3 linked regions of the Drosophila melanogaster genome follow. The protein of the gene in region 3 purifies or fractionates together with the protein of the main gene of each other region. This does not show direct contact. Each region holds a gene or a part of one and is shown on either strand. Other genes may lie near its edges.

Evidence for each region.
Region 1: the proteins of Nrx-IV (region 3) and Cont purify together in Drosophila melanogaster (affinity purification with western blotting; 4 studies listed by BioGRID). This does not show direct contact.
Region 2: the proteins of Nrx-IV (region 3) and wrapper purify together in Drosophila melanogaster (affinity purification with western blotting; 2 studies listed by BioGRID). This does not show direct contact.

What each region holds. Positions count from the first base shown.
Region 1 is NT_033777.3:4,379,239-4,383,073, reverse strand, and holds the start of Cont (contactin), read right to left. Parts: upstream 1,769-3,835; 5' UTR 1,545-1,768; intron 1,196-1,544; 5' UTR 1,107-1,195; coding exon 257-1,106; intron 205-256; coding exon 1-204. Other genes in the region: Sfxn1-3 (sideroflexin 1/3), read right to left, coding at 2,127-2,371, 2,443-2,570, 2,804-2,965, 3,029-3,146, 3,250-3,399, 3,456-3,618. UniProt on the Drosophila melanogaster protein: Required for organization of septate junctions and paracellular barrier functions.
Region 2 is NT_033778.4:22,377,528-22,381,362, reverse strand, and holds the start of wrapper (wrapper), read right to left. Parts: upstream 1,727-3,835; 5' UTR 1,562-1,726; coding exon 1,384-1,561; intron 512-1,383; coding exon 32-511; intron 1-31. Other genes in the region: Rtf1, read right to left, coding at 3,610-3,713, 3,771-3,835.
Region 3 is NT_037436.4:12,145,010-12,148,609, reverse strand, and holds the start of Nrx-IV (neurexin IV), read right to left. Parts: upstream 2,092-3,600; 5' UTR 1,756-2,091; coding exon 1,650-1,755; intron 1-1,649. Other genes in the region: eIF3l (eukaryotic translation initiation factor 3 subunit l), read left to right, coding at 2,622-2,654, 3,360-3,600. UniProt on the Drosophila melanogaster protein: Seems to play a role in the formation and function of septate junctions.

The sequences.
Region 1 (3,835 bases), on a different chromosome or scaffold from region 3:
TATCGAGTCCATAATGGTAGGGACGCTTGTCGTCTAACTTTATGTTGACATTGTCTGAGCTGTATAGTACTTTTGACTCGCATATAAAGAGATTTAGTTCAATTTCATAGGCTGGCATGAACATCCACCGATCCCTTTTCTTTGAGAAGGCGTACACAACGCGATCGCGCACATATCGGTTGTCTCCATACGGCTGGTTGGGACCTGTAAGGAAACGATGTTTAGCAAATCGACAATTTTAAATAGTGAAACTTGCCTATAAAGCCGCGAAGGTTATTTTGATTGCGCTGATTAACAGTCCCCGGAAGAGAGTTGTAAAACTGATTTGGATTATTGATATTTTGGTTGTTGAGGTCGTTTTGCACAAGGAATCTATTGTCGTGCAGATCTTCGTTTTCCAAGGGCACTTGCTCGTCCATGGAAAAGGAGTCTTCGATCTGGACTAACTGGGTGTTGTCATCGTTGACCCAATTCAACGGGCCCGTTTGCCGGGCGGAGATGAAGAATCGGTTCTGCCGTTGATTCTGCAGGATGAGATTCTTGAGTATAAACGAGTGCTTCTCTACATTATCCACGTTTATCAGGTCGGCATTGTGTGCCTTGCAGATCTTTTTAGCCTCTGCCCAGTTGCGCTTGGGCGAGCGGATGAAGCGATAGCACGTCTGTCTGAACGAGACCCAGTGCTCCGGGCAAAAGTTATCTTCATCCGTATAGGCGTCCCGGTAGCTGACACCTGCTGAACCTATGCTGTTCCGATTAAAGGGGTCGTACTGTGGGCCGAGTCCGCCGAGGTTGTTTCCAGGCCCGACTACATTGCCGCCAAGGCCCCCACCTCCTGCCCTGCCATCATAGTACCCCTTGTAGGTATTAGGGCTCTGTCCGTCGACCAGCGTATTGTCGAACTGGTTGGGGTCAGCGCTTTGCTGTCCAGTATACAGGGGGTTGTATCGCGGAGAGTAATCCTTGTTGTAGCTAGGCTGATAGTTCTGAGGCTGCTGTCCCGACTGCGGATCCGGATCCGGCAGGTTTTCGGAAAATTGGGGCGTGATCTGGCCAACTAAGTTGAGCACAAGAATACTCGCCAGAAGGCCGATTTTTGCTAGCATAGTTGGTCCTTAGCTTTAATAGCGTGGGTTCTGGTTTAGATGTCTCGCAGCAGACTAAAGGCACATTTTGCTCTGGAATTCGATAGTTTCTGAAAGCAGAACGAAAGAATGTTCTTGTTTATTTTGCCCCTCTTATGGCATAAACAAATTGAATGTAAACAGATTTGTCGATCGCAGGTCATTCAAATTTGTGATACGATGTGTCAGCACGCGTATATACAAATGTACATATGTGTATGTGTGTGTGTATATGTGATTAGGCGTGGTCGTAAGCCGCGATTGATCTTCGATCAACTGACTTTTTAGATTATTCAAGCACACTTTAGTTGTGTTTCCTATTGAACAAGGACAGTTTTAACTGACTAAAGAAGGGGGCTCAATCCAAGTAGCCCGTGCTGGCAAAACTAATTGGTCGCATAGGCAAACACTTAACCACACCTTAATTACGACTCCAGGACGCAGCACACGAACGGTTGAAAACGCTACCACTGCGAGGTGTTCCTGCTGACAAAAAAAAAAACCACGAGTTGTGCGGATCCGGACAAAATAAGTATCAGAGGCAATTTACAGCTTTTTAAATTATAGTTTAATTAAATAAAAACAAAACAGTCCAGAAGCTGAGTCGACCAGCAATTAGATATGCGCAAGCCACGACTGTGGGCTACGCTGCCATCGATGGTGCGATAGAGGCATCGATATGCATAGTCGATATCCCGCTGTAATCGCCATTCGAATAAATAGTGTGCGCGGGCCATTTGAAACTGAGTTCAGATAACAGTTAACAGATATATTTTTGTTTCATACATTTTCACTTTTACACAATCACTATAATATACACTGTAAATTTGATTCACTGACGTGTCGCTTGCTGTGAACGGTAAGCATATGCGGTCAGGCTAATATCAGGAGTATTTCGAACAGAAGTCAACAGGCAAAATGCCAATAAATGCAAGAAGGGAAATAAATAGTTGCTCAATCGAGCAGTATTGTCTCCGTTAAGCTCGTAAATGGCATAGGGCCTCACAGTCCCTTGTTGAACCAGACAGTTTCCAATTCCGGACGCTTCTTCCTAATGCTGTCGCGGACCTCCGACTCCAGGCTATCCACTTTGATGTCCGCTCGCTGCTTGAAGAAGGCGCAGCCAAGGGGCGTGGCGAAAATCAGCACGAAGCCGCAGAAGAGCGTTTGGATGGGAGCGTTGGATCGCGGGTATTTAGCCAGGAATCCCCTCTTTTCGAGGACATTCATCAACACCGGTGTCAGTGCTGAAATTGAGAATAGCGTAAGTATCGTAAGTTGTTACACTTTTGTGCGCAAGGATGTCCAGGAGACGTACTCATTCCCGGTATGGCCATGGCGATTCGACTTAGGATTACGGTTGAGATCCCAACAACGGCCGCCTTCTTTGAGATGCCCATTTCGTTGCTGTGTTCATCGAAAAGCGTCACTCCGTTGCGCAGCTCTCTGTAAAAGAGGAATATTATATACATAATTAATTCACTGTTTTACGAACGGCCGAAGTAGCGTAAATTCGGTAAACAGCTTTAATAAAATATGAATAAATTAATAAAATGCTGGTAAAATTATCTCTCTAAAATTGTAGCAGAGCTGCTCTAATCGAATCAGGCCTATTTCATAATTTTACTAAAAACAAAATGTATAGAGGAAAGAGCTTCTTTAATACAAATTTAACTTACTGCATTCGCATGCAGGGGATGTTGATGCAGTTGGCAGCTCCAACTGCCACTAGGGGGACAAGGCGACCCAAGAGCGGATTCATGTTCTTCACTGCGTGGTTCAGGGAAAGGGCCGTGACCAGGGCTCCGCTAGTGGCCAAACAGTACGAGGTAACTAGTTGCCTGAACAGGGGACGAAATCGGTGAAGTTAGTGTCGGGGACTGCGGCTGGAAGGAGGTACCTACTGCTGGCTGATGGGCGAGGTTCCCGAACGGTTCGTGTAGTTAACAATGGCGTTGAATGTCTGATTGAACCACTGCCAGAAGACGACGGCGGGAGTGCTTTTGTAGAAGGCCATCATGCCTGGAATGTGATTTAGCTATTATTGTAGTCGATTAATCAGCAGTGCGGAAGCACATAGTTTATTTGACGTCAATTGAGCACCGAAAAAGTCGCTAATACGCACCGCCGGTGATGATTGTGTTCATGGGCATCTGCGCAGCCATGCGCCCGATGACTATCTGCTTCTCCCCGGTCTCTGGATGGAACGCCGAATCGTACAGGTACTTAGCGCGCCACACGTCGTCGATGGTCTTGCACTCGGGAACATCCTTGCCTTGAAGTGCGAATAAGATTAGTGATCTAATTTGGTTACCTACTCTTCTTTCTTACCAGCCCGGTACTTTATCACAATCTGGCGGGCCTCCTCCAACTTCGAGGCGGAGGCCAGCACATTAAGCGGGTTGGTCAGCAGGAAGAAGTGCTTGGCTCTGCCCAAGTAGGAGTTCTGATCATATTTCGGCTCGTCGATGTTGACTCGTGGGAGAGGGCTCATGATTGCCTGCAAGGAACGTACGTAATCAGTAAAATATGTATCTGCGAAAAGAAATCGTTCTCAAAGCGGAATTAAACGTTTCGTAAACTATGTTTTCCGTCCCGCCCATGAAAGCAGCTCTTATCAGTCCGATGCTTTGAACCTAACTGAGTCCCCTTATCGCTGGTAAACAAGTTTCTCCCGACAACGCTTCTTGCGCATATATGTAGGCACAAGA
Region 2 (3,835 bases), on a different chromosome or scaffold from region 3:
GCTCAAGTTGACTTGAAGCTTAATTACTCACATAGCACATGGAGATAGACATTGGCCACCGCTGGCTCACCCACTCCATTGCTGGCCACGCATTCTATGAGGCCCGCCTGGTTCCTCGATTTGATCTCCAGGATGAGGCTTTGCCGATTCCCCGTGTTGCTCTGTGGCTGGATGACATTGCCGTTCAACCGCCAGGTGATGACCGGTTGGGGCACTCCCTGGGCCTCGCACACCACCTCGAAGATTGCACCTATCCGCTGCTCCGTGAGATCCGATGGTTCAATCAACACCTGTGGAGCCAATTGCACTTCGATGGCGTGCTGCTGGACCACATGACCCGAATCCGAGTTCATTTCGCAGTAGTAGTCCCCGGTGTCACTGGACTGCACGTTGGCCACCTGCAGGCTGCCATTCGGCCAGAGCATTATGCGATCCGGCGGCGGGAGCTCCGGGTGTCTGGAGTCCACCAGAGCCACATCGTCCCGATGCCAACGGACGTAGCGGAAGGGAGCTGGGTATGTGAGGTAATAAATTTGATGAACTTATGTGTTTTATTTTTATGTTTTCGCGAATTCCATTTTTATCTACCAAATATTTAAAAGAACGAAACAGAATTCAGCAGAATTGTATCTCGAATCTTAACAGTTATCTGGCGCTTATCTCACTGCCAAGATAAATAAGAATAAACAAAAGCATCCGCTCGAAGCCCAAATTGTTTGCATTGATCATCGATATATGAACAATAAAAAGTATACGTTGTTTTAGCTAACGAAAATTTCTATACACTAAGCAGATCTATTCAAAATGTTATTGTTTTAAAAACAGAAATATACTTTATCAATCCCGGATTATTTATACCATACTATATTACTTTAAAATGTAACTAATAACTTCTATACCAGAACTATTGTAAATAACCTACATATATTGGCATGCCAAACTGAAAGGCTTAGTTAAATATTTCTTCATGGGGTGGATTTGGACGACTCTGTTCGTAGGGCTTCCCGCACACACGCTAATTTGTAAGTTTGTGTAATCTTGTAACCCTTTGGAAGTGTAATTGCTTATGTCAATAATCCTTTAATTGGCCATTTAACAATATGTCTCGGGAGGGTCTTGCACGGCGACTTGAATGCGCCGCTAAGTGTGTTAAGCGTTCAATTAATAGAATCCGCTTCTGGACTTTCTCCGCCGTAACTCTATTATTGTCGGATAATACCTCCATTTGTGGCATTGTGAGTTCATTTCTTCAATCGAATTAAATCTCATTGTTATGGCCAATTGCTGCTGGTGGCCGACTCAAGGCCCCAAAAAGCGGGGCTAATCGCCAGAAATACCCACAATGTGCACTGAGATTAGTACCGCATTTAGTTAATCACTTACTGTTTAAGGTGCACGGAAGCTGCACTGTATCGTTCTCATAGGTTTTCACTGTGGTTGGTATGCTCTTGAACTTTTGACTGTTTTCGAGATCGTTGTTAAAATCCAGCTCGGCTTGCACTTGGCCAAGGATTAGGGCCGCAAGCAAACACCTCACCACTGAGCACATATGGGGCGTCATTTTATTTTCGCTTAGTTTATATTAGCTATATTTCTTTAAATTAAATTACACTGTGATTTGGTAATTCTATAATTCACGGTCGCGTGTCGGAATTAGAACGGTCCGCTCTGGTCCGCGACAAAGTCAACTTTGAACTGATCGCTTGAGCTGAAGCCACAGTTGGCGTCCCCTGAGCCGCACACACTGCACCACCACACACACACGCACATGTACAGTGGAGCCCCGAGGGGCGGACAATGGAAGATGCCCGAGTCCGGGGCGACGATGAAGAAGCCGCTGACGCTGGACAGCACCCAGCACTTGTGTATAAGGCATGCCGATGCCGGTTGATTAGTCGCCGCCAAGGAGATTCTCCCACATGGGTACACAGAAAGAAAAAGCGGGAGCACTACTAGAAATCACTATACGATGCTGTAAGATATGGTTCAAGTTGAATTTCTATAACACATACTTTCCCTGCTCGAACTAACTTGTTAATGGATGATAGCAAGCTCTATAGGCGGGTTGAGTAGCTGGCTATATCGGAGATTTTACGTATTGATACCATTTTTCGCTGTGCATTGATGGGAGATGTGTGTGTGTAAGTGGCTTTGGGATGCACCCACACCGATGTCGCTGCAAGAACATTTGCATGGGCCACGCATCGGTAGTTTTCGGATTCAGAATCGAGATTCCGTCGCTGATCTATTACACTCTCCGCTTCAGAGAACGTGCTGCTGTTGCATATTCCGAGATAAAATGTCATTGTGCCACAATGGTGCCCCCATCCCAGTCGTCATCATTGTGATCGGATCAGTCACATTCACCATTTGGAAACAATATGTTCGGCACGGCGAGGTTCCCAAAAAGACAGAACGAAACAACTTGGAAAATATTCGAGCGGAAGTGCATTATATAGCGATCAATTCAAGTTTATTTCAAATTAGCATCCTATTTAGCATGTATTTCGATCGATTGCAGCGGAGTTAGCTCGAATATGCCTTTCAAATATTGACCGTTAAAGTCTCTTTATATATTTGCAGATCTTGAAAAACGTTTTTCCCTCTGACGAAACGCGATTGTGTTCAATTAAAAGACAATTTCATCGAATTAATTGAATTAATTTGGTGAGAACATGAAAGGAGTCAGCCAGCTGCGCAAACAGACTGCAAACCAATTAAGAGGAGCCAACTGTCCAACAGTCCAGAATGGTGACCATAAGTTTACTTTTCATTGGTGCTTATGTGGGAATAGGCGCCAAGTATACAAGATAACAAATCCTATACAGTATCCCAACACTAGATCAATAACATTATTTAAGTCTTTTTCTTTATTATAAATAATATTTATATATGTATATTTAAGTATATGAAAGCTGTTGCTACAACTGATGAATTTTGCCTTAATCTAATACAGCATTGAACGGTTACAACCAACGGATACATACTCGCTTGAATGAGTCTTATATAACCCTTTCAATAATCCTCTTCATATTTGTCCATGGAATATCCTTCAAATTTGCCATTTGCCTGAGTAAACGATTAAGTCTTCGCTGAAAACTAATTCCGTATTAATTATGTTAGTTGTTAATTTATGGAACAAATCGTTGGAAATGATTAGGCTGGATGGGGTTTTACTCTTTTCGTTATAACATTTTTAGCTTAAAACTTTAAAAATTTCACAATATATACTTAAATAAGTTCGTTATCTGCATAGGCATTCCAAATGTTCGAAATTACTGTTGATTCTTAAGTGTTGCTTGCATAATTTTTCTAAAAATTATATCATAATAGTGAAACAAAACAAACACAAACAGAGAAAGTATCCTCGATTGGGATATTCAATTCGCCCGACCTATCTAAAACTTTCTGTGTCAACCTTATTATATATATATATGAACTGTAACTATAAGCCGAGCTGATTGCCCGTCGTTTTTTTTGTTGCTCTTTAAGTTGGTTGAGTCGTTGAAGCAAACGATCGCTGTATTCATTTCATTTGGGCACTACACTAAACTAGGACGTAAACATGCGACGCTTTGTCAGTATATGTATGACCAGCGGCATCCTTTTCTAGATAAGACCGCGCTTTTTTTTGTAATCCTCTAGATTCAGCGAACGTTTGGAGACTGTTTCAGCTGGTTTGCTAGCCGGCTTGGGCACTGAATTCGTATTGACTAAAAAAGAAAATGGTTATGCCCATTGCTCAACTGCAGAATACGTTAGTTACATACCTGGTAGCGGAACATCTAGGTCAATGTCAAAGTCATGCAGTGAGTAGAGACTGTAGTCCTTGGAG
Region 3 (3,600 bases):
TTGGCCTCCTTTTTATGGGCCCATAAAGAAAGCCACATCTATAAGGCAGCAAGAAGTAAACAAATTGACTGAGGAGTAAATATTTGCTATTTATTTTAAGAGTTCTTAGTTCTCTGTTTTCCGGGTAATTTAAGTCGTACAAGATATATTGAATTTGCTTGTAATGAATAAATATCATATAAATAGAATCTATACAATTGAATCTTTAAATTTCACATGAAGTCCAAGGAAAATTCCTATGAATTAAGACAATCAGCATTAAATTGGACATAAACTGATGTAATTAGTTGCTTTATTTAGAATATTTTACTCTTAAACATGTATTAAGAGTACTAGGTACTAGTTAGAAATATTTCTTATTAAGATGGTTCCACTGTTTTAAGAGGCAGATTCTTGTCTCATATTTGCACCATAATATTTTCCGTTGACGAGAGTCTTTTAGCCCCTAGGATCCGTGACAAAAGCATGCGGATGTGGGGGCCAGGTCGTGTCGGAAATCCAGACAGTTGCCCCTGTCTGCCGCAACCCCCAAGAAATTGTTTACAATGGGTGCAGCAGTAGCTCCTCCTAGGCAAACAGCACACTGGCATTTTCTTAGCGGAGTGGGGGAAAACAACCCTTGCGAGGTCATTCGGAGTTCGTGGGCACTTTAAGCTGACTTTGAGTCTTGGGTGGAGTGGTACAAATCAACCTGATAAGCTCGAAAGGAAACCGAGGAAACACGCATGACAATCTTCTGGTAAATAACACAGGAACATATGTACATACATATATAGCCAGTTTGAACTACTTTTTGCTACATAATTGCCCAATGGTGATTAGAAAGAAAACGAAATACATAGAATTTGGCTAATGTTCTAAATGAAACAAATATGACGAGGTCTGAAAGGCCATTTCCGTCCATCTGGGGGAAACTCGAAGTGCGAATGATGCTATTTTCGAGGCAATAAGAACCGAAATAAATTATGGAAATCGACCAAAGTCTGGGAGGATATATGTCGGCTGTCTGCTTTCGACGCTTCAAGGCAAATTAATTGCGCGGCATTGTTTATTTTTAGTCATAAAAATGTTTGCATATCATCGATAGATTGTTTATTTTTCAAGATATGTGGAAATTTGTGGGGAAAAGCGCTTAAGTCTGTTGACATATGGAAGGATAATGATAAAATCACCTGTTTCACACAGCATCATCAATCAGCAGATGCTTCTTATTTGCCGCATGCGCATTTGAAAAGCCGGAAAAGAAGGCAAGCACAACTGGGGATGCAACCGGCAAAATTTTCGAATTGCTCCCCCGGGAAGCTTCATAAAAGTCCGGAAATCAAGAATCTAAAACCCCAATGCCTTTGCTCAAAACGAACGAGTAAAAACGGGCGTTGTTAAGCGGCATTTTTGTTTTGCCACCGCTATTCGTAAGCAACCGTTTGATCGCTCTCCCGTTCTCACCAAAACTCTCGCGATCGCTAAGAGCGAGTTAAAAAGCGAACAACGGGCCAAAGGAAAATGGAAGAGCGAGTCTTCAGCTTTGGGGAACACGCCCAAAAAGTTGGCTTACAAACAATCGACGTTTTATGTCACATATTGCTGGGAAAATCGAGCCGAAAGGATCTGAATTCCTGGGTTAGTCAATGGGTATCACTGGTTTTTACCTGCTTGCACCGATTTAATGCCATTATTGACCAGCAATAGGAGGCATAACAATCCAAACTGAAGCGAGGAAAATGCTGCTTTCGTATTGCTCCTGGGCGGCCTCATCTTGGAGGCTGTTAATTAAACACTATCGCTTGGTAGATTTATAAACACATCTATATTCGATTTCCGAAGAAGTTTAACACCAAAATGCACTTTTCCGCTGGAAAAACCACCGTGAAAAGCTGATGATTTGTGGCAACGCGTCCGCGGTGTTAAAAACGTTGGACTGCACTTTACGCTCCGCTTTAAATCGATTTTGAATTTATGTAATTTATCCACTGGGTGTACGGCTCCAGCAGATCACGCCCACTTCGGAAGAGTTTCGTTTGAATTAAGAAAATAATTATCGCAACGCGGATGACACACGAACAGAATGTCTCGCTGCCAGTGTGACCGTGACTCAAACGTGGCAAGATACCGAGGGAGTCACCAACTGGGTGCTTGTCGCGTGAGCTAAGCTATCGTGTGATTAAGTATATGAAGTATTTACAAATTATTTCAACTGCTACTATGAAATTAAATTTGGTCACTAATAATAGCTTTCCGTTAACATTTATATTAATTCGTGATAGAAATTTTTTTGCATAGTTTTAAAGCCATGTAATATCATTGCAAAATGAATGATATAAGCAAAGTATACAAATGTAATGGCAAATAAGTCAAATCCCCTCTAAAATATTTTTTAAAAATCTAGTTTTCTTATCTATCCAGAAATTTGAAATAAAATACATATTTTACAAAAAATTATTTCGAATACCAAATCGATAGGGGCGTAAAACATCGATAGTCGTAGTAGTATCATTATCGATAGTTGGTCACACTGTTTATCCCTCTTTTCGCCAAAAATTTGTTGGCGTGTTGTCAATTTCCTAAGCATTTGATCGGTTTTTTCGTTTTGTGTGTAACCCGGAGAGGATAAAACAGCGACAATGTACGGTGGAGACGAATACGCAACCAACTCGGTGAGTGCAGCCAGCGAGGAATGATTCATTCTCGGGAAACCAATCCCCGGACTCCGCCGACAACATAACCCATCTTTTGTTGCCCTCGCACAAATACAAAACTCACTGGGATGATTTTAAAGCCGTTTTACGACTTGGCATAGTTGGTGTTTAGATCATCATAGGTCATTAAGCACTGATAATCCGTGGGCCACTCCTTTGACACGTTCCTTTGCTATTTGGAAACGAATCCTGTAGTCCGGGGGACACCCCGGCGCCATGTGGTATATTATTGGTATCGGTGTACATTATTAATAAGTCATAATACCTTCTACATTTTTGATTTGCGTGCAATTTTAGATGGTGTGTACACACCTTTAAAGAACACATGAATATATTCTAGCTTACTCCTTAGAGATGCCGTGGAAAGAAGTACCCCTCTAAGGTTCATCCACTTCGTAATCGTAGGAATGCGCTCGTTTTGTTAGCTACAGCTCGCTTAGCTAAATGGTCGGGATTAAACTCGGAACAGTTGTAGCATAGTCTCTCGAATTCCTATTTACAAAGTCGAAAGTCTTCAATAGTCTAGGCAAGCTGTTAATTTATAAAATCGATCCACTTTAAGCGATTAACTCTATTTAATAGCTCATTTATGCAGAGAGTCGTAGATCAGTATTTCCTGCAATTCTGCTTCCAAAAAGTCATTGGGTTTTTTACATATTACAGGATTACTACGATGACTACGCTCATACCGGAGACCCGCAACTGGACATGGAGTACGAGAGGAACTACTACGCCGCCCGGATGCCGGACAACGTCAAGTACTTCCTCATAAACTTCTGCCAGGCGATCAAAGAGGGCAACTTGTACGACATCCAAAACATGTACGAGAACACGTTCCCGCAGATCAGCGACCACCACTTCGACAAGACTGCTTGGCCCGAGGAGCAGGAGGTGGCTGCTATTG